Yarrowia lipolytica: one gene and its partners. The protein of the gene in region 2 interacts with the protein of the main gene of each other region in a pairwise test. Links are inferred from orthologs where the notes say so. Each region holds a gene or a part of one and is shown on either strand. Other genes may lie near its edges. The genes, in order: YALI1_C32706g, YALI1_B27102g, YALI1_F01034g and YALI1_C06917g.

The links.
Region 1: the proteins of YALI1_B27102g (region 2) and YALI1_C32706g interact in binary tests that used the Saccharomyces cerevisiae proteins (3 or more experiments, as listed by UniProt). The link is inferred for Yarrowia lipolytica from reciprocal best matches to the Saccharomyces cerevisiae genes HSH155 and BUD13.
Region 3: the proteins of YALI1_B27102g (region 2) and YALI1_F01034g interact in binary tests that used the Saccharomyces cerevisiae proteins (3 or more experiments, as listed by UniProt). The link is inferred for Yarrowia lipolytica from reciprocal best matches to the Saccharomyces cerevisiae genes HSH155 and CUS2.
Region 4: the proteins of YALI1_B27102g (region 2) and YALI1_C06917g interact in a two-hybrid assay, tested with the Saccharomyces cerevisiae proteins (3 studies listed by BioGRID). The link is inferred for Yarrowia lipolytica from reciprocal best matches to the Saccharomyces cerevisiae genes HSH155 and PRP5.

Annotation. Positions count from the first base shown.
Region 1 is NC_090772.1:3,268,717-3,272,707, reverse strand, and holds YALI1_C32706g (uncharacterized protein), read left to right. Parts: upstream 1-2,084; coding exon 2,085-2,750; downstream 2,751-3,991. Other genes in the region: YALI1_C32721g (uncharacterized protein), read left to right, coding at 543-1,784. UniProt on the Saccharomyces cerevisiae protein: Required for efficient splicing and pre-mRNA nuclear retention. May also be involved in positioning the proximal bud pole signal.
Region 2 is NC_090771.1:2,705,512-2,712,433, forward strand, and holds YALI1_B27102g (uncharacterized protein), read right to left. Parts: upstream 4,689-6,922; coding exon 1,212-4,688; downstream 1-1,211. Other genes in the region: YALI1_B27057g (uncharacterized protein), read right to left, coding at 1-210; YALI1_B27110g (uncharacterized protein), read left to right, coding at 5,485-6,762; YALI1_B27123g (uncharacterized protein), read left to right, coding at 6,821-6,922. UniProt on the Saccharomyces cerevisiae protein: Contacts pre-mRNA on both sides of the branch site early in spliceosome assembly.
Region 3 is NC_090775.1:100,868-105,528, reverse strand, and holds YALI1_F01034g (uncharacterized protein), read right to left. Parts: upstream 2,104-4,661; coding exon 880-2,103; downstream 1-879. Other genes in the region: YALI1_F01020g (uncharacterized protein), read left to right, coding at 3,499-4,661. UniProt on the Saccharomyces cerevisiae protein: U2 snRNP protein which helps to refold U2 into a structure favorable for its binding to SF3b and SF3a prior to spliceosome assembly. Mediates functional interactions between U2 RNA and PRP5.
Region 4 is NC_090772.1:687,828-694,401, forward strand, and holds YALI1_C06917g (uncharacterized protein), read right to left. Parts: upstream 3,956-6,574; coding exon 1,031-3,955; downstream 1-1,030. Other genes in the region: YALI1_C06929g (uncharacterized protein), read left to right, coding at 5,130-5,810, 5,900-6,339.

The DNA of each region.
Region 1 (3,991 bases), on a different chromosome or scaffold from region 2:
TTATTAAACTCTTTCTACATTGTCAGAAAAAAACACAGATTCCCGAAAGCGATACCCTGAGAGAGGAGCTATTCGGTGGCACCTGGACATCCCGGTTTCAAAATTAGCGCTCTGTATACGCACAGACGCTCTTCTGACAGCTAACAGAGTGGGCGGACGTCACCGCCGGGTTTGCAAAAATGCTCCATTTTAGCATTTATAGGTGACATAAGCCTCAGAGGCTAGCCACCCACGTCAGAGTATCGTGGAGCTACTTGTACAGGTCACGTCGACAGCGAGTTCCCAGAGCTCACAAGCGGTCCTTGGAAGGCGGAGAAAAGATAAAATTACATGGGGCAAAGGCTACTAACGCTTGAAATGCTCGTATCGTGATTTTTCGCTTTTTCGTCATCCGCTCAAGTTCTAAAATCTTGATGGAATACGGTGACAGACGCTAGTCATGCACGTTTTGGGTCTAGAATATAGAACTCGGACGTAGCAGGGGCTGAGCTGCCGTAGTTCAAAAATGCCTGGTGCGACGGCCTCCTAGACCTCACCAATCAATGACAAAAACGCACAACGAAAACCCAGCGGTCGTCAACCACCGAGAACTGTTTCTGGCGATTGCAGCCTCGATAGGAAAGGTTGTCGAGGACAACGGCCTTATCTACACCAACTGTGGAGTCGACAGACACGCTCAAGTGACATTTCCCGCGTCCAATGTCTCAGATGCCCAGCTCGACCGGATGATGGACTTCTACCACACCAGCCTTCCTCGTACCATAGGTGTATGGAAGGAGGACGGAGTTGGAAACGAGGCTCTGTCGGCTCGGCTTCTTGCTAGAGGCTTTCAGATTGGTTGGGAGCCTCAGTGGATGGTTTTGGATCTCGATACTGCCGACATTCGACCCAAGCACATCAAAGATGTGTACATCAAGGTCAACAACATGGCTGTGATTCCTTCCAGTATCCCATTTTCCAACAAGGAGGACGACGGCATGTACGCCCTCGATATGCGACGTTCAGGCGTTATTACCAAGTTTGTCGCCACTCACAAGGGCCAAATTATCGGCCATGCCGATCTATTCATGGGCACCGAAGCCGGTATTCACAACATTGGTGTTCACGACGACCACAGTGGCAAGGGAATCGGTGGTCAGCTCGTCAAGAATGCTTGCGCTTTCGCTCAGAAGAAGGGTTACAACCGAGTCTCTCTCAACGCTGTCAGCCAAGAGCTGTACCTCAAGCTGGGTTTCAAACATATTGTGAATGGAACTACCTGGTGGCTCTACCGAGAGGAGTTTGAAAAGTGCCAGAACAGCCCTGCGGAACAGAAGATCATCCAGCATGTCTGTCTTGGTGAACTCAACGAGATGGAGAAACTGCCAGCTGGAACTTCCTTCTCTTTCCCCACTACCAGTGGAATGTCTCTGCTACAGATGGCCGTCAAATTCAAGCATACCAAGATGGCCCAGTGGCTCATTTCCAAGGGAGCTCCTCATACCATTCTTGACCTGTGGGACATTGGAGGAGCGTCCTTGGCCAGTTCCATGCTTCCTACCCACATTGACGACCTGATAGAAGGGAAGACAGCTCTGCATCATGCTGTTGAACGGGGAGATGTGGAACTATCCAAGCACCTCTTGGCTTTCAACCCCAACCTGGACATTCGCGACTCCACCTACTCGTGCACAGCGCTGGGATGGTGTTCTGTTCTAGAGAGAAAGGAGATTGGCACCCTTATTCGAGAGGCTGTTGAGAAGATCGAAAACACCGAGTTTTCGTCGGTTGCAAGCACCTTGTAGCTTGAGTGCTAAAATTATTTAATGAGATATTGTGGGGTCTATGGGGGAGGATGCACCAAGTGCACAGACGGAATATTATAAAAATTAATGAACATTGCGGTAACTAACATATTGATCTACTGTAGGGGATCGAATATATATTTAATTCTTCGTATTTGACGAGCGCTAATATAGTAGATATTAAAACAATTTTTGTTCCATTTTAATTTCAAGCGGACTCTCGATACACTTTAAGCTTCGGAACAGCTGCACTACACTTAACATTTGGGCTCACGGGATTCAGCACGACCTGACAACACCATGGACGAATATCTGGCGAAAAAATACGGCTCTAAACCAAAGAAAACGAAAAAGCGAAAACTGGTGGAAGGCTTGGATGTGGATACCGCGCCAATTACGCAGCGACAGACACAACAGGCCCCTCCACCTCCGCGTGCCAAGGGCGGATGGAAGACTCTGTCTGGAAAGGCTATTGATCCGGTAGAAGAGACGGTCTATCGAGATGCCTCGGGAAACATCATTTCTGTGGACGACCAGATCTCCGTGTTACAGCAACGTCAGCAGGAGAAGGAAGCAGCTGAGCGTCGGAAAAAAGAGAACCTGCTAGGTGCAGTTCAAGTGGAGGAGGCCAGGAAACGACAGGCTAAAGAGGAGGCCATGAAACACACCAAGGTGACTGTGCATGCTGATGACAAGGAATACAATGAGGAACGTCAGAACCGGGCTATTTATGCTGATCCGGCAGCCAAGTTTGGAAAGGCCACACCCAAGGCTTCGACTACGAGCTCTGGAGGAGCCTTGCCTTCATACACTGGTTCGTTCCCCTCGAATCGGTTCAACATCAAACCAGGGTGTTTATGGGATGGCAATGATCGCAGCAATGGATTCGAGGCCAAGTGGCTATCGAGACAAGAGGAGATGAAACGTCAGGCCGATGTGGATTATCAGAATGAAATGGACTTTTGATTGGTTGAAGATGAAAGGTGCATATATTTATAGACATAATATACAGTCATTAATAGGGTTGTAGAACGGATACCCACTGATTCGGATAAGGGCGACATCATCTTTACCTGTTAAAGGTGGTTTACAATTGCTTCATGTGTAGTGTGTGTGGCGAGCCGACCTAAGTTCAGATAGCATAACAAACACACACACTCTCCCTCTGACATACTCTTCCACACAGTCACAGACACTCAGACACCCGGACACCCTACACCTCTGATACCCACATTCACTAAGAGAGTTGCCATGCTGATACCGGTTGATATTCTCCATTCAGGTGCGCACCATCCCTGAGTCCTTTGCTAACGACAGATACCTCGTTCTAACCTTCGACGTGGAGCTCCCTACCACCGAGATCAACCAGATTATGTTCAAGCACTTTCCGCTGAAGTCGGTCATAACATTGTCTCGGACCTGCCACTGACTCAGGGACTACATTGCTTGCGAAGATGCAACACCGGGAAAGACAAGGTTCTCGAACGATTCCCCTGGATGGAGCTGGCTTCAGATGCCCAATTGTTCACCTGGCTGGATTGTGCCAGACTGATTGTGCCTCACATGGCCGCCAGGGTAAATAACCAACAGCAATGGTAGTCAATGACAATAGACGAGAGGTACGAACAGCTCACGGGCCCTTTCTACAAGAACCTCGAGGTTACCTATATTCATGCAGTCAAGCGCTCCGGATCCACGCTCACCGCCCAGTTGAAGCCCCTCTTCGAGACTGGTACGTTTTATGTGTTCCGTGAAGGACGAACCCGAGGCAAGTACCAGAGACTACACTCCTCACGACAAAGGTGTACTCGACCTGACCAACATGCAGTACTACAGAGAAAGGCATTCTGTTGTTGGTAACGAGGTCGTATCTTACTGACGCGACAGTGTTCTAAGCGATCAGAGAGGGGACGGAAGGGACAAATAACAGCTCGTCAGTCCACTCTCAGAATTGACGGTTCGCTTTACACAGAAGTTCGCACTAAAGAAAGAGAACAACCAACTCACCCGTCGTTACCGGGGGTCCCTTGCTTCTAGCCCCAAGCACGCCCCGACCCGAGTACTTTGATATTTCCCTACGCCGGTGTTCTCTGTGCGCACTTGAAAGGGAAGTAAATGATCCCTCCTTGGGTTGACTTACAAGCACTTTCTAATTCCTATCGGAGCTCTATGGTCATCCCCCAAGAACACCTCAAGAAATTAGACCT
Region 2 (6,922 bases):
GAAGAAGTTGACAAACTCGTCTAACAAGACATTGTTCTTGCCCGACTTGAAGAAGAACAAGAACTCAGGAAAAGCCATAGGAAACGATGAGACGTCTCTCACCGGTGAACATTTCCACTTTTGGGCCAGCTTATAGCTCTGGTAGCGATATCGAAGACGGGTGAAAATCAGGTAAGACACCAGAAAGGCCAGGACGTAGAGTAGAATCATTTTATTGGACCAATTACAACCCAGCTGACATCTACGACTTTTTATATACCTTCCACTACAAGTAGCCCTTTAGTGTCCCTCCACCTTTTGACACTTAAAACAGAGTTGTCCTTACTTGGATGATGGATCAATTTTAGTGTGGGGCACGTTTGTGGGGTGCATAATCGTCAAAAAAGTAAGAGGTACTTGTAGTAGAAAGACATTTGAAGGAATATTCACATGTGTTTGAGTTCCAATGAAGTTATAAAAAAAGGCGTCGTGGCATGGTGTCATACTCGTCCAATTCCAATCGCCACTATAGTGCCTCTTCGTAACGGTCGCTTGTACGTCTAGCAGACCCTAGGCTCAACCAAAGGCTACTTCGTATGTACTGCAGCTACAGTATTGTAATGTCACATCAAAGGAAAGAGGCAGCAGGAACAACGGGTTACATATCCCACGTATAGTACGATACTGTACAGTAGTAGCCCCTGTTTCGGACAGTGACACCAACGCGGTGTACAATACCGTCTTTGAATTGTGGGGTACCTCTGACTAGGCCGCATATTTGACACCTCTCAACAATGCTGTCATTTGGTGCAAATACTGATTAGTATTAATGATTACACAGGTAGCTAGCTATATTATTACTTGATTAGCCAACTACTATAGTTTGTTGCCTCCTTGTCAGGAGAAGCAGCATGAACCCACGGAACTCTGTATTCGCAAGGACAACGCGGTCAGATGACCCGATCATGGCAACAGTATATTTTCTCCCATCACTTTTGCTCCTACAAAAGAAACACAGCATCGATCTACTGTATCTGTTCCTGAGTCACTGTGATTGCATCCATGGCAGTCTCCACTGTAGCTGCCACTGATAATTACAGTAGCTAGCTATCGTACTTACGAGTACAGTATGTACATACTGTACTTGTATATGGTCAATTAAGTGATGGGGGCAACCCCTTTCTGTAATATACATTATGCTAAATGTGAACTAACAATTCACTTGTAGTCTCTTAAACCCACAAATCCAACTCGTGTCGGTAAAATTCATCATCCTCTGGCATGTCGGGGTAGTAAGGAGTCATGGCATCGACATTATCGATGTACGCAGAGTTGTATGCCTTCCAGAACGGATCCCTGACCTTCCGGGCAGCATGGAACAGACCGGCCCAAATGTAATTAAGCACCAGGCCGGGTCCCAGGCAAAGACGAATGCCCTCAATGGCGTCCAAAATACGCACGATCACGTGAGGAGACGTCTCATAGATGTTGGGAATCAGCAGATTGAGAAAATGCACCATGGCATCCTCGGCTCCGAGACCCACGCAGTTGATGGCCAGATGGCGCACAACAGTGGCTGCCGTCTGTCGATGTACGTGGTCTCTGTCTGTAAGAGCATCTTCCAGCAGGGGAGCCACAGCGTAAATGTAGTCTTTGGCCATATCTCCAATGTACTCAAACATGAAGGTCATGGCTTTAAGAACACCGTTCTGGACGTTGATCTCAGGAACACGGTACTCGTTCATCAGAGCAGGAAGCACGGTGAACGGAGAACAAGTCTCGGCCACAATACCAATCGCCACAGCTGTACAGACACGAGACTGACGTTCCTGGACTCGCAGGTTAGATAGCAGCGTGGCCAATACATCTTGGGGGCCAATCGCCTTGGCGATATATCCAAATGTGTTATTTGCTGCCTTTTGAATGGTCTTCTTGTGTGCCTTAAGGAGATCAATGAGCTCGAAACAGATTCGCATCCATTCTCGAGCGGACACATACTCGGGACCTCGGTCGGCAATTCGACCAACCAGATCGATGGTGTTCTCCTGTACCTTTTCGTGTCGGTTACGCAGAATAGGCGTCAGACGAGGCAGAAGATCTCGAATGGGGGGAGTCATTGAAGCCAGACCAACAACAGCGACAATGGCCTTGAGGGCTCCAAGCAGAGAACCCAGAGCCTCAGGATACTCTTCTCCAAGCTGCTCGTACAGGATTTGTCCCAGCTTGTTGAGGGCCTCATCTTCTCCACAGTTCTTCATAACTCCAGCAATCTGGCCAATCAAGTCGGCAGCCTGACTTCGAACAATAGGGGACTTGTTGGAGAGTCTGAACAGCACGGAAGACGTGATCTGAGAAAAGTAGGGTGCGGCTCGTGTATCAAGAGCTTGGATAACTGTTCCGAAGCCTCGTAGCATGACAATCGAGTCGGCTCGGTTGGCATTGGCAGCTGGTGATTGCAGCTGGAACGCCGTCAGAATACCGTCAACCAGACGGGTTTCCAGTTTCGAGCCGGCCTCGATATCAGCAATTCCGAGATTGGCCACAACCTTGTCAATAGTCTCCATTGTAAGTCGTCTAAAGTGGTCAGACTCGTCCTTGAGATGGTTAGCAACTCGGTCCACGATTTCAGCAGTACCGACCTTATTAGCCAGTTCCACAGTTGTAGAGAGAATAAGCTTGTAGCACACTCGATCAGAAGCCATTCGACGGGTCCAGAAGCACTTAAAGTACGTGGGAAGAACCTCGACACGAATGTATCGAGCGGTTACACCCTCAGAGCGGGCACATTGCGTGACCACTTCCAGAACCACTCGCTTCATTTCCTCGTCAGGGGAATAGAACTCTCGAAGAACGACAGCCATAACTTCCTTGGTATAATAATCGGCATAGTCGGGATTCATCAGAGGAATAATGTATCCAATCGCTTTCAGAAACGCCACAAGATGTTTACCTCGCTGCTCTCGCACCCCAAGCCAGAGAGGTTCCAATACGTTCTCAAACGACTCAATACCGTAAGGGGCGGCAGCTTCGGCAAGAGCAGCAAGAGCCTGCGCGGTCATCTGACGGACCTTAGGGTTGTCGTCAGTCAATCCGTCTCCAATACAATCCACGAGAGAGCCGAGATATGGCAGCACTGTGCATCCGATGAGAATAGCAATCTGCTGGACAATCTTTGCTCCTGTGTGACGAGCTTCCCATGACTTTTTTGACTTGCAGACGGCTTTAATGAAAGGAACTAATGCAGGAACTCCCAGAGCACTAGCAACAATGGCAAACGATCGAGCAGTGGTGTTTCGGACAAACTCGTCTGCGTGTCCGACGTTAGGTCGGAGTGTTGATATCATATGTGGGAGTCCAGCGGCCTTGGAGATGTTGGCAACCAGCTCCCGTCCCTCGACTCGTGTGAAATAGTCCTCATCGATCAGTAATGGCTCAATGACAGACAATAGTCGGGGTGTGTATGGTCTTACCAGATCACCCAGCTTGAACAGGACTCGATCAACCACCTTGACAAGCCAGTGTCGTTCTGTATCCTCCAAGGACCTTTCTCTGAAAAGGGGGATGATTTGCGAAAAAAGGGCCTCGGGACCCAGAGATCGAGCAGAATCAGTCAACTGTCTCATGGCCTGCTTTCGCATCTGAGGAGATCCGTTCTTGATTTTTAGAATCAGACGCATCACCTGGCGCTCCTTCATTTCACGAGCACTCAATAGACCCTGTTCTTCTGCATCCTGCTGTTTGATCAGCGCTCCAAAGTACTTCATATCACTTTCCTTAAAGTACGCCAAATCTCCCACTCCAGGAATAGCGTCAGCCGAAGGAACGGCTGCCTGGATCGCCAATGCTCTATCGACCGCAGTTTCTGTGCTGCCTCCTGGAATGCTGTATCCCTCAATCTTGACTGTCACCTTGCTCTTGATTAATGGCTTGTATGAAGCAGGGGGAGTAAGTACAATGTATCCTTCCGAAGGAAGCACCGAAGCAAGAAACTCGTCTGTTATTTTGCTGGTTGTAGACGTCTCGGCTTCCTTTTCGTCGGGAACGTCCCATCTCGACTTCCGCTTTCGTCCTCTCTCACCACTGTCTTCAGTGACAGGTTTATCTGATCGGCCCTTTCTGACACGAGGACCCACTCTGGGAGGAGTTTGAGCCCGTTCGAACTTCCGAAGTTCATCCTGTTCCTTCTGGGATGTTCCATTTGCCTCCTCCTTCTTTCTGATTGCCTCCTGTACTCGCTTCTCGTCTCGTTCCAGGTCTCTTAAAGCCAGTCGCTCCTTGTAGCTTAGATCCTTCTCATCGTCATCAGCCTCCTGGCGATCCAGACGTTTGCGCTTGTAATCGTTTGCACGGTTGTAAATGCTCTTGTTGGACTCGTTAGCTTGCAGCTCATCGACAGCCTGCAAAGATACAGTCTCGTTGAGGAACTCTTGTGGAGCAGTATACGAGTCCTGAGGCAGGTTTTGACGCTCATCATCGTTAAGAGCCTGCATTTCCGATACGTCTGCCATCACTGCGTCGTCATCCTCGAAGAACGGCTTTTGCCTGTCTTCTCGCAGCCGCTTAATTTCGTCCATGCTGTTGTGTGTGGGTGTGTTAGTAGTGAGAAAACGCAATGCATAAAAATACAAATCAAGCTCTGATCTGAGATAATGTGGGAGTGCGACAAGATGCATCTTGTGGAGAATTGAGAAGATACTACAAGTAGACATAAGGAGGGGCAAAACGGGATTTTGGTGTGCACGTTCTTTATTCAATCAAGAAATACGCGTAGATGTGGTAGGGTGATGTACCAAGTGAGGTGTGTATGTCTCTATTTTTAGTTGAAAACATGATAACATTACTTTCCCTCAGTTGGGACATTTGTTGGAGTAAGATAAACAGCCCTTTCACAGACGAAGTTATAATTAAATGAATGTACAGTATATGCAGAAAGAAAAGAAAAAACAGACAGTATGCATTATGTGATTATAGAAAAAGGAATGGTGAACAATCATGTTCTCAACTGGTGGAAAATATATGTGTAGGAGGTACATTATGGAAGCCAATTATATGAGAAAAGGCTTGGTATTGCCACAAAAATGACAGCTGCTTCGCTTTTTACAATCTTAACACAGGAAGTAAAGATGACTTTTTTTACCCACAGTACAAGTGCGTACTTGTGCTGTAATCTAACAATTTACTTGACATGCTTGTCTATATTTTCTTCTCATATTCTATAGGGTTTAATGTATAAAAAAATATGAATAAATAAATAAAATATTCTCAAGAATATTGTACCATATTGGGAATATAGGGGTGATTTAAACATATATCACATACTTGATAGAGTCATAATGATCCCTCAACATCATTCCTGCCTGAAGAGTTGTTAACTGATAACTTCACATCTCAATAACGCCTCTCTATCCCACCATTAGACTCACCACGTATGATACAAGCACTGTAAACGCGCATGCATGCAATACGTAATACCCATCTCAGAGTCAGATTCATCAGCACACAACGATGAAACTGTCGATACTGCTCTGCTTGGCATTGGTGGCATGCGTGCTTGGATACTCGGAGAACCTTTCTCTGCGGCCTCTGTCGCAGAAGTATCTTCACGCCTCGTTCGAATTCGAGGCTGAGTCCGAACCCTTCAACACCCACCCGGTCGCTCATCACGACGAGTTCCCCCGAATTCTCTCACAGATCATCACCCAGAGCGACGCGCGCGAAATCCACTTGCGGTTTGCCCAGGGATTTTGGGACGCCGAAGAATGGGGCGTTCTCCCACACAATGGAGCGTTTGCTGGCGGAACAGGAATCGAGGCTTGGGCCTGGATCGAGGCCTCATCCAAACAGGAAGCCAAGAAGAAGTGGTTCGGACTGGTCAACTCGCTGTCTGGACTTTTCTGCGCCTCGCTGAACTTCATTGACTCGGCCCACACAGTGGAGCCTCAGTTCACCTTTAAACAATCATCCACAGGTTCCAACGGAGCGAACGAAACCACAGCATACCTGTTCTCGGGCGCGCTTCCTGCTGAACCTGTCTGCACCGAAAACCTCACTCCTTTCATTCGACTGCTCCCTTGCAAGGGTAAGGCTGGAATCTCTTCTCTTCTTGACGGACACAAGATCTTCGACTCCCAGTGGCAAGGTATGGCCATTGACGTTCATCGAGAATGCACCGATGAGGAAGCCTGCAAGATGGTGCTCAAGCAGACTGTAGATGCCGTGGTCGATGTTCCTCGTCAATTAAGACGAAACAAGCACCCTATCCCCGTACCTCTTTACGGAACCGACTTCAGATGTGACACCTCCAAGCCCTATGCTAACGACTACATCTGTTTCCCTCTCGGTGACCCTACCGAGGTGTCCTGGAGTATCCGGGAGATCTTCGGGCGGCCTATTGAGGGAGCCTGTAGAATCGGACAGGGCTCCGTCAACCTGGACGTCCCTGACGGATGGAAGCTGCAGAGCAAGTCTGGTGAGGACGGTGAGATTCTGGACACCTATCCTACACTGTCTTTGGCTAACACTGACTCTCTGGACATCATTCTGTCGTCCGATAACGCCACCCATGTGTCCCCTGTGTCGTCTCCTCCTGTGTTTGCCCAGCGGTCTTTCTCTGGCCACGGACAACAACGAGGAGGTGTTCGAACCGCCTTCACCAACCCTTCTTCCGAGCCCGTCACCTTCATCTACTCGGAAACTCTGCCCTGGTTCATGCGGTTCTACTTCCACACCATGAAGCTCAAGAATGTGGATGGAGTTTGGAGAAGAGTCCGAGGGCACGTTTGAGGTGCTACAATACTCCAAGTCTGTGGACCGAAAGAAACCCACGCACTTTGAGCTCAAGATGACTATCCCAGCTCGTTATTCCGCTACTCTGGGCTACGACTTTGACAAGTCCATGCTATATCTCGCTGAATACCCTCCAGATGCCAACCACGGGTTCTCC
Region 3 (4,661 bases), on a different chromosome or scaffold from region 2:
AACTATTTGAATTGATTTTGTTTAAAATAGAGAATAAACGCATATATTCAATCTGCTCACTAGTCTATCAAACCTGTGTAGAATCAATATTATGGAGATAAAAAAGTGGATCAAAGTAATAATATAAGTGCCAGATTTCAATTAATACTACTTTTATTGCCTTTTACTACTTATATCGATCAGCAGACGACGACTATTTTCGACTCAAATTAATGATTCACTCTTCAGTTGGGTTATCAAGTAAATTTAGTTGGAGTTATCTGGTACTGTACCGATTGAACTAGCCAAAAAATGAAATAAAAATGTATTATGTTAGTATAAAAACGGCCTGGAAATATTGGCCTGGAAATATTGGCCTGGAAATATTGGCCTGGCTTTTGAAGTTATTGCCGTTGTAACACTTGTTTTCTATCTATTTCATAAAGCCGATTAGAACCTCCAGTTTAAATCTGCGTCGAAATGGAACACTACTCAATCATTCTCGGAGACATCCAAAACTGCACCAGTAGCTGACAATATGAAGGCTGCTTCAAGTCATATTTGACAGGATACAATGACAAATTCGTGCTTCATAGGTTTACTTTGTTCTTCTCCAGATACTGTAACAATATCTAAACCCTGGGATACAGAATCTTAACAATGATTTTAACAATTTTGTAAATATGGTAACTATTTAAACAAAATATCGACGTTTCAATATTATTATGTTATAACAAATAAAATAAAAAAAATACAAAAAACTAACGTTAAGTAATTGATTCGGCTTCGCGCGTCATACCCTATTGAACTCAACTTGTCCATTTGTCGATCTATATGATTAGTATACACGCACTTATGGCGAGATGGAGACCAAGTGTATCTAACAGAGTACATACTATACTACTCGCCCTCCAGCCACTCTCCAAACCTCTCCAGCCTCTCCTCATCTTCCTCATCACCTCCCCGATCCTTAGTCTTTCTCCACTTGGTCTCGTCATAATCAATGTATGCCTCGAGTTTCTGGCCACCAAAGAAGCGACCGTTCATCTTCTCCACGCACTCCGCGGCATCGGAAGCTCTTTCAAACTTGACGGTCACCACTCCGTCGGGCTCCAGGTCGTATAAAGTCACGTTTGTGACTGTTCCGATAGCTCCACAACCGTTATAAATATCTTCCTTGATGTCCATTTCGGCATCCACGTCATCCTGGAGCTCCTGAATGGTAAATACCCGTTTGAGAGTGACCACCTTGGACGACTTTTCACGAGACTCCGTCTTGACTCGTTTGACCTCCTCCTCATCCCAATCGTTGAGCCTTTGCTGCAATTGAGTGTACTTCCTCTTGGCCTTGGCCTTGGCTTCTTCGGAGTAATTGGGACCGGAATTCGTCTCTTGCTTCTTATTGTCGCTACTGCCCTTTTCCTTGTCGAAAACTGCCGGCTGGACATTCAGAGTGACCATTGTGTCGCCAACGTAAACTGGCTGATTGTGCAGCATATCCACCGCCAATTTCACGCTTTCGGGCTTGAAAAAAACCACCAGACCGTCGCCCTTGCCCTTGCCCTGCTCATCGACATAAACCCGAGCCTTCTTCTTGCCAGTGTAAACATCTTCGGCCAACACTCCGTACTTTTGGAAAATGTCCACCAGCTCATCGTTGGTAGCAGTTGAAGGAAGCCCACTGACATAGATGGCCTTCTGAGGAGGCTTGTCGCCCTTCTGCTGAGCCTTTTTCGCATTCCGTCGCTCCTCAATTACCTCTTTGCGCCTCTTTTTGAGCTGCTCCTGAACCGCCTTCTTGTCCGAAACCGGCTGGTTTTTGCCCGTATCCCTCCCACTCGGTTCCGCCTTCGCAGTCGCAGTTGTGTCCGTCGTCTCCCCAGCAACCAGAGCCGCTTCCAACTCGTCTCCCTTATCCTCCACCTCCTCCTCCTTGTCCTCCTCCTCCTCCTCTATCAACCGCCAGCCTCTAGTCACATGGTCAAACTCGAACATGGTCCCATCTTCCTCCTTCTCATACAGATACGTGCCCTTGATCGTCGAGTATGTCACGTGATCGGGGTCTCCACCGGCGGGCGGTAACGGGGCAATTGCCGCGATTTCCGCCAATTGGTTGTCTGACATGTTGGAGTGAATTAGTATCGTGTAATTGTCGAGCTTGGAATTCCATATTGGTGGGCGATTTTAGGTTTCAGATTAAGAGATATGAATTGATTTGGGAAAAAAATTAAATGAAAAAACAAAAAAAAATCCTTGATTTAATGAATTGATGTATTTGTATTTTTGTATATTTGTATTTTTCTCCATTTTTATTGACCTTTGGTATTTTTTTATTTCTTTATTTCTTTTGTGGTTTTTTTTAAAAATACATTTTTAATTTTTAATTTTTAAATTTTTAATTTTTATAAATTTATTTCATTCAGCCTAAAGCAACAACCAAAAGCCAGACTATTTTGTGCTCATTTCCAGGTGAATTGAACTGATCTGGGAAAACGAAAAGAAATATTAAAACAAAAAATTCATTGAAATGGCGGAAAATCGAACTGGTGAACAATTTTCCACCACCACTCTTAACCTAACCCATACTCACCCACCCACCTTAGTCAGCCGTAGTTTTAAGTTCGCCTGATGAAAGTGCTTTTCTTTCACCTCAAGACCCTCAACCCTAGTCTTTGATCACATCCGTTTTACGGTGAGTATGGCGCGGCACCGCGCTCGGAGATGGGCCACGTGACGTCTCCGGTGTCGGTCTGTGTGTGTTGATTTCGCTCTTTTCTGCCTCTTTGTGTTTGGATCAACAACGATGAAATGTCCCCAATGTGAGGAGGTAGAGAGCGGCAGAGAGTGAGGCACAGACACGGTGGTAGGACGACGAGAGCGGTGAGAGACGCAGGTTATGTTGTTGGCTGGTGGATGGAGCTGTTGGCTGGTTGCTGGAGCTGTTTGCTGCTTCTGTCTGCTGTTGACTGTGTGTGTTCTATCATGATGTTGTTGCTGTGACTATGTGGTGACTTTGATGTGACTAATGCTGACATGAATTCAGTGAATGTTGGCCACCGGATCTGTTGGTGCTGATTTAGGGCTGTCATACGTGTTCATTTGGCCCTTTCGGGTGTTGATTCAGTTCATTACAGACCATCTTGGTCTCCCACCTACCGCCAGTCCCACGAATACACGCATACGCAGTTGTCAGGCTGACTGCAGAGAGAAAAGATACAGCAACTCACAGGTCAAAGAGAAGACACGTCATTAGCGGATAGTGCTCGTCAGGCAACACTCAACGTACAGCATCCAACAGACAGCACTCGACAGATCACCGCAGACATCATCATATCGCTAGTGAGCTGGCGACAGACCCACATCTGTGATCCCAATACTGCATCTCCACTACAGATCTGCTGCTGTCATACACAAAAGCTGGTCTCTTGCACCCAGTCTGACGAGCAATAGTGTCTTTTTCCCGTCTTACGACCTCGCCTGCGATCCGCACTTGCACTTTTCTTCACCTCGCTAACCCAGATGTCCCCCACCGCTGAACAGATTGCATGGCTGTTTGTGTCGCAGTACTTTAAGCGACTGCACTCGGACCCCAGCGAGCTGCACCACTTTTACGACGTCGATGCGAAGCTGCTGCACGGCAAGGAGCAGGACGACACCGCCGCGATCTCTGGCACAGAGAGCATCCAGGAGCGGATTAGCCAGCTGCACACCAAGGGCTGCAAGACGCTCATCTCGTGCCTGGACGCCATGGAGGGCCCCAACAAGTCCATTCTGATCCAGATCATCGGCCAGATGTCGTCCACCGACGATGGCGTGCCTCAGAAGTTTGTGCAGTCCGTTGTTCTCGAAAGCAAGAGCGGCACCAACTACTCCATCTACAGCGACGTGTTCCGGTTCCTGAAGGATGACGACGAAGAGGTGGCCAAGGAGGATGTCAAGGAGGAGCCTAAGGAGGACGTCAAGGAGGAGCCCAAGAAGGAGGTTGAGGCGAAGAAGGAGCCAAAGAAGGAGGAGCCCAAGAAGGAGGAGACCAAGAAGGAGGAGCCCAAGAAGGAGGAGGCCCTCAAGAAGGAGGAGCCCAAGAAGGATGAGCCCAAGAAGGAGGCTCCTGTTGCTGCTCCTGTTGCTACTCCGGCCACTCCTGTTGCCGCCTCTTCTTCTTCCGCTGCTTCCGCTGCTCCTGAGACCAAGGAGGAGCCCAAGAAGGAGACAGCTGCTGCCGCCCCCCCTGCTGCAGCCACCTCCGCCCCCGCTGAGCCTACCAAGCCCTCGGGACCTATCTCTTGGGCTGCCCGAGCCCGGTCTTCTGACAAGCCTGCTCCCGCGGGCTCTGCTACCCCCGCCGAGACCCCCTCGCCCGTGGCTGCCGCTGCTGTAGCCAAAAAGGAGCCTTCCAGCTCTCCCACTGTTGCGGCCGCAACCACGTCCTCCGCCTCCTCGGCCGCCGGCAACCGAAAGGGAACCTTCCACTCGGCATACATCAAGGGCGTGGACGGCAACACAGACTTGGCGGTCGTGGAGGCCGCGCTCAAGAAGATTGGCAACGGCATCTCACACTTCGAGGTGACCAAGTCCAGGAACAGCGTTTTTGTCGACTTCAACGACGCCCAGACGCTGCGAAAGGCTCTGGAGCTGCGGGAGCTCAAGGTCGGCGATCTGACCATCATCATCGACGAGCGAAA
Region 4 (6,574 bases), on a different chromosome or scaffold from region 2:
CATCGCACTTTTCTCTTTTTTTCTCTCACTCCTCCTCCCCCCCACAGCAACTACCCCTATTCCCCTCCACGCATGGTCATGCACTCCACTCTTAAACCCGCACATCATCACTCCACACACACTTGACGCCGACTACAACGATGGGTTCGTGTTTCAGCAAGAGCGAGCCCGCGTCCACGTCGGGCAGGACCGCAGGACGAGCACCACCAGCGGCTAAGCCTGCCAAACCAGCAAAGACGGAAAACATCCCACTCAAGAAACAACCGCCCAAACAGCCAACAAACACATACAACTCGCCAGGACACACTCTGGGAGGCACAGCCGAAACGCTGGACGCCAAGGAGGCCGCCGCACGCGCCGCAGAGGCCCGGGCCCAGGGCCAGAATAAGGGTGGCAAACTCAGTCAGCAGCTGGCCAAGGAGAAGGCTAAGAACCGGACCGAATTGATGAAGACAGAGAAAGTCGAGGAGCCATTGATTTATGATTAGTGGGCGACTCATGTGATTACTGTGATTCCCGAGATTCTGCAGTGTTGCCATTGTGTTGTCTGCGGCTACATTGTCTCCACGATGCTTTCTTGTGGAGAGATGCTCAACGACTCAACAATAACAACAAGGGGCTAGGACGACTCATGTGGATGGTTACGCGCCATCTGAGACTAGAAGGATTATATAGGAATGTATTATTTTAACGATTGGTGGGGTGCAATGGTGAAGGGTGGTGATAACGGGGTTCAGGTTGAAACATCGTTATACAACGAGAGCATGAGAAAAGATCCAGCTCCTGAGAGATCTCCAAATGAAAACTCAGCAACAGTCCAATAGTGTGTACACCATGACACCATAGCCAAGTCTGACTGAGAACTAATGGTTACTCCTTAGTTATTGTACCGTAGATACTGGAACAAGTGGAATACTTTCTGCCTCTCAACCGCTTCATTCGTCAATCGTTATAATATATACATCTTCCTACTCGTACATGGACCATTCCATACTCGGTCCTACAAAGTTTGACCCCCCCTTGGTATCGTCTACACCTGATACCTAGCGCCCTTAACCAAACCACTCACCAGAAGCTCCGACAACTCATGATGAGCCAGTTTCACCGCCCGCTCACTGGTACCCTCAATGAGAATAAACAGCTTGGGTTCATCCTTGGGTCCGGGAATACGACCAGGAGGATAGTACTCGCCCTTAGCAGTGATACTGCAACCAGTGTTGGCAATAACACGACTGACAGAAGTGTTACTACTGGCTCTGTATCGAGCCTGCTGAGGGAAGTCGTTGATCTGCAGCGTCGTGTGGTAAGCAGTTGTGGGGGATTTGCTGTCTGGAGGAGTAACCACAATCACAGGCTTGGGAATGATATCAGTGTTTGCAGTACTGGCAGCTGGAGTACTGCTTTCCGTCTCAGCCTCTCCAGCCTCGTCTCCCTCATATGCTCGTCGCTCATGTTCTCTGGTCGCATCTCTCTCATCCTGTAGACGCTCCAGACCTTTACCAGAGAAGCCGTACATGTGTCTCTTCTCAGTTCCAGACCGCACCTTGAACTCGAATCTCTCGGTCATGAGCTGCACAGGCGCAGGGGGCGCGTTTCCAGACGACTTGATGGCACGTGAGATTTCAGCTGCCAGACGCTCCTGGTCACTCAGAAGGAACGTCAACGCTGTACCCTTCTGACCAGCCCGTCCGGTTCGCCCAACCCGATGCACGTAGTCTTCCATGTGGTTGGGGGAGTCCCAGTTGACAACTAGACCGAGCCCCTTGACGTCGAGACCTCGAGCAGCCACAGAGGTGGCAATGAGCACGGAAACAAGCCCGCTTTTGAAATCGCTGATCGCCTGGTCTCGATCAGCCTGCTCCTTGCCTCCATGAATAGAAAGACACGGGTAACCAGATTGGATGAGCTCCTTGAGCAAAGAATCAGCACTCTCCTGACGCTCCACAAAGATGAGACACTTGGGGTTGGGAATGGGGGTAGCTGCCGACTCTCCGGTACCCACACGACCCTCACTTTGCTCGTCAAAGAATCCCTGAGCAAAATACTTGCCCAGAACCTCTAAAAGGCGCGGGAACTTGCTCTTTTCGTTCTGGAATACTTCCACAAACTGCGTGATTTCAGAAGCAACCACGGAGCGCGCTCCGACAATGATTTCAATAGGACCCAGGGAGTCAGACGACCGCTTGCTGAGCACTCTTCGCGCCAGCTGTTCCATTTTCTTCGGAAAAGTGGCTGAAAAAAGTACAGTTTGCCGGTCAGGTCGGATAGATTGGGTCAACTTGAGAACCTGAGGCTCAAAGCCCATATCGAACATTCGATCGGCTTCGTCAATGACCAGGAAGGTCACTCTGGATAATGAGAGCACTCTACCTTGGTTGGCAGCCAACAAGTCGATCATTCGTCCAGGAGTACAGACAATGATATGGGTGCCCTTTTTGAGAGCAGCAATCTGGTCTTTGATGGGACTGCCGCCATAAGCGCATACAGCTGTGAGTTCGAGAGCAGCCAGAAACGGCCTCAAGTCTCGGTAGATTTGTACACACAGTTCTCTTGTGGGTGTAATGATGACACCCAAGGGGTGAGAGGAGGCCCCCGAAAGAGTGGTGGTATGTGTTTCGACCCCAACACGGTGTTTGATGTGACGTAGCATTGGTAATAGAAACGCTAAGGTCTTTCCTGAACCTGTTTTGGCTACAGAAATCACATCTCGGCCGCTCATGACAGCTGGAATTGCCTGGGCTTGGATACTTGTGGGTTTATCGTATCGCAAGTCGTTCAGAACTCCCATAGTAGGTCCCGGAAGACCCAGTTGTGTCCATTTGGAGATTGGCTTGGGACAATCTTTGCCTCGGATTTTGATTCCGTCGAGTGAAAGACGCAGCTCATTCGTTTCGGCTTCAGTCATGTCGGCAAGTTCGCTCGATTCGACGTAGAATTGGCGTCGGAAGTCTTCATAGACCTGTTTGGAGTGGTCCACAATCGCAATCTCCTTTCGTTTCGAAAGCGCAGAAAGATCGAGAGTCGGATCCTGTGACTTTTCCAGCGTATCCACCTGCTCCCAGACATTGAGATTTTCCAAAGGAGTGGAGTCGGCTATGGAGACAGATGTGGTGGTTGGAAGGGTCAGGGAAGACATGTAGGCGTCGAGGGGGTCGACTTCGGCAGGCTCAGAAGCAGCACCGTTCTTTTCAGAGGCATTCTTGGCCTCACTTTGGCTTCCACCTCTTCCCTTACCCTCACTCTTACCACTGCCCTCCTTCTCACCCAACTTTTTCAACAATTTTGCCGGCTTCCTACCGGCGTCCTCTTCATCTGAGTCTCCCCCAAAGAACATCTTTCTCTTCACCTGGCCCTGATCTGTAGCTTTACGCAAACCACTCAATCCGGACATGGAGAAGCCGGCTTTCGGAGAAGCGGGGGCGGTGGAAGGAGCAGGGCTCGCGCTGGCGCTCTTACTTCTCTCCAGCTCCTTTTTGCGCTTCCATTCAGCGACTTTGGCAAGCTTGGCAGCTTTTTTGGCGTCGATTTCTGCTTGCGACGGGGTTGCATTTGTCGTATTGGGCGTGGTGCCGGTCACCTGGCTAGTACTCGAAGTTTCACTCATGGAATTAGATGACTTAGTAGAATCATGCCCAGAAGGCTGGTGTGGACGGCCCGAGGGGGGAGGTCGATGTGCGTCCCGTGACCGATCCCGTGACCGATCCCGTGACCGATCCCGTGAACCAGAGCCGCGACGTTCCCGCTCACGTGATCTCGAATAACGTCGGTCGCGCGGGTCCTGTCTGTAACCCCCTCTGTCTCTTTCTCTGTCTCTGTCTCTGTCTCTGTCTCTGTCTCTAACATCCCGGAACCGATCTCGCTCGTCTCTCGAGCGATCTCGGTATCCGTACCGTCCACCTCCATCTCTGCGGGTGCCAGAATAGCCCCATTGGTCATACTCACGGTCACGTGGCATCAGGGCTGTAAACCGATAAAGACGAAGATATATCGCAGGTGTTTGCAGTGGCGATGTTGAGAGAGTCGGATATAATTATGCAGAGCTTAAAAATTAACCGGAAATAGGGTTCACGGATGGGGACTAACGGTGGAGATAATGGCGTGGGGAGAAGCGGTGGAGGGGAACCGACGGCGGATTTGAGGGTTCATGGAGAAATAAATGGCAGTATACTCTCTTGCTTTTCCGGTAAGCCTTGTGGTTGGTGAGATAGAGAGGGTGTTTTGACTGGGAGATTGGAGTGAAATACTTACTTATATATGGTGGAGCTTCTCCCAACTAATTTTAATGAAGATATCGGGATAGAGAGGAGGTAGATCCGGTACAGAGAGACCACCTTCTGGGGCAGTAGTATTGGTGCTAGCGAGTAGATAATCAACTTAATGGGGATATGTGCCGCAATGAGATGCTGGAATAAGATTTCATTTCGATATCTACTCTACAACAGGTTTTAGATGATCTCTGTTCTCAGTCAAGCGTGTCTACCTCAAGCAGTCATAATGACGTGAAAGAACACACAAAAACTGCAATTCTGGTAATAAATATTGGTTTTTTATTGCTACATACTGTTTATATCCAGAAAATTGTTCCTTAGGAGCTTTCATTTATGAATTTTGCAAACTGCTGGGGTCCTCCTACTACAACACCGTGCTCCTCCGTACTAGGAAGAGTCAATAGACCGGACCAAAAACCACAAGATGAAACAGACAAACAGTCAGCAGACAAAAGGAGAGATAATAAACATCAATACTGCTGTTTGAAAGAAGGGCATTGAACAACTGTTTGGCTCAAGATAGTGGCAGGGGCACGTGCAATTGTGCTGTGCTTCTCTCGTTGCGGTAACTGCCATCATTAGGCTGGTATCTGGGCGGTTTGAACGAGTAGTTGAAAAGTAATAGTCAGTATTGTTTCATACTAAAAGTGGCCATTATTGAGGCTGCTACAACTCACCGAAAACAGTCACTTCAAAAAACACCTTGGACCAAATCTCACCAAAGAGACCAAGTCAATAACCGTGAAGCTCATTAGAAACACCACCAAAGCGATCAAGCCTTTCGTGAAATATCATCAAGGGGGTTTACAGAATGTCTATAAATACCCTTGACACCGCCGTAAGAACCCCATCATCTACAACATGTTCCCTCTTTTTCTCCTCCTAGCTCCGGCTCTGGCTGCTCCAACAGCTACGCCTACCATGACCTCAACCTCTTCAACCACCGCCAACTCAGCTGCAATCACTACAACATCTCTGCAAACAGTCAAGGCCTTCGGTCTTCATTGCGAGCCCTCCGAATACCGTCTCCACACCAAAACCGAGATGACATATGAGGACGAGCTATGCATTGTGAACGAGTACGTCTTCACCACCTGTCGAAACCGGCCTCCTTCCACCTGCCCTCCTGAAGAGCAGGTGCTGGTAACCAAGACTTGGGAAACTGATTCAGGTTTCGATATCTGGACCACCACTGGGGTTGTCACTGAATGTGTCAAACAAACCACAACCAAAACTTCAACAACTGTCCTTCCTACTAAGACTTTTACTCCAACGCCTTCGTCCACTGAGTCCAAGCCTACATCAACCCCTAGCACATCCTCCAGAACATCCTCCAAGACTTCAACTCTGCCGGAAACAACCCCCGAAGCTCAGGTCTCTACCATTCCCCCTACCTCTACTCTCTACTCCACAACCATCGTCACCACCATCTCCAGCAAGATTGTCACGGTTACTGTTCCCTGTGACTCTGCAGATGTTCTTGAGACAAAGACGGAGTCAGACACGGAGCCTCCCAAGTCAACCACGGAGCCTCCTAAGTCGGTTGGGTCCTCTAAGTCCCTGAGTCCACCCCAGAGCCTGTCCAGTCGACCACCAAAATTCACATTGAAAATAATACTTCCCTTCCTGAGCCAGAACCGATCACCACTTCGGAACCCACTCCCAAGTCAACCACCAAGGCCCTTGAACCCTCCCCCGAGGTTCCTCAACCCAAGATTCAATCCAAGCCTGATCCCACCACTGAGCCCAAATCTGAGCCGGTGATCTCTTCAAAGCCTGAGCCTACTCCCGAGCCAATTACGTCTGAATCCGTTCCTCCTGCTCCTCCTTCTATCGAGACAATGACTTACTTTGTCACCACCACCTCTGTTTGTGATATTCCCGATTGTTTGACCACCAGTTTCCAGCCTGAACCCTCCAAGCCAGCCGAGCCTACACCTTCTCCCCCTCCCTCTCCCTCTGAACCAGCTGAGCCCCAGTTCTCGGGAACAGTTCCTCCCCAGGCAAACGCCGCAGTTCCTATCGTGACTGCACCTCTCCTAGCTCTCATTCCTGTCATCGCTCTATTTCTGTAAGTAGCTTAGTTAGTCAATTAATGTATACTTTAGACTAACGGTAATCGTCGCGCTGTATACCCCCAATAAAGGAGATAGACGTCTGAAACTTTCATATTGTGTTCCAAACGACATCAAATATTATTGGTAAAAAAATCTACTCTCATTCTCAAGTATTTCGCAAAATTATTCGCCGCAACAACGGCAATTTTTAAGATACTGTAGGTCACGTTTTTCTCTATTTCAAGAACG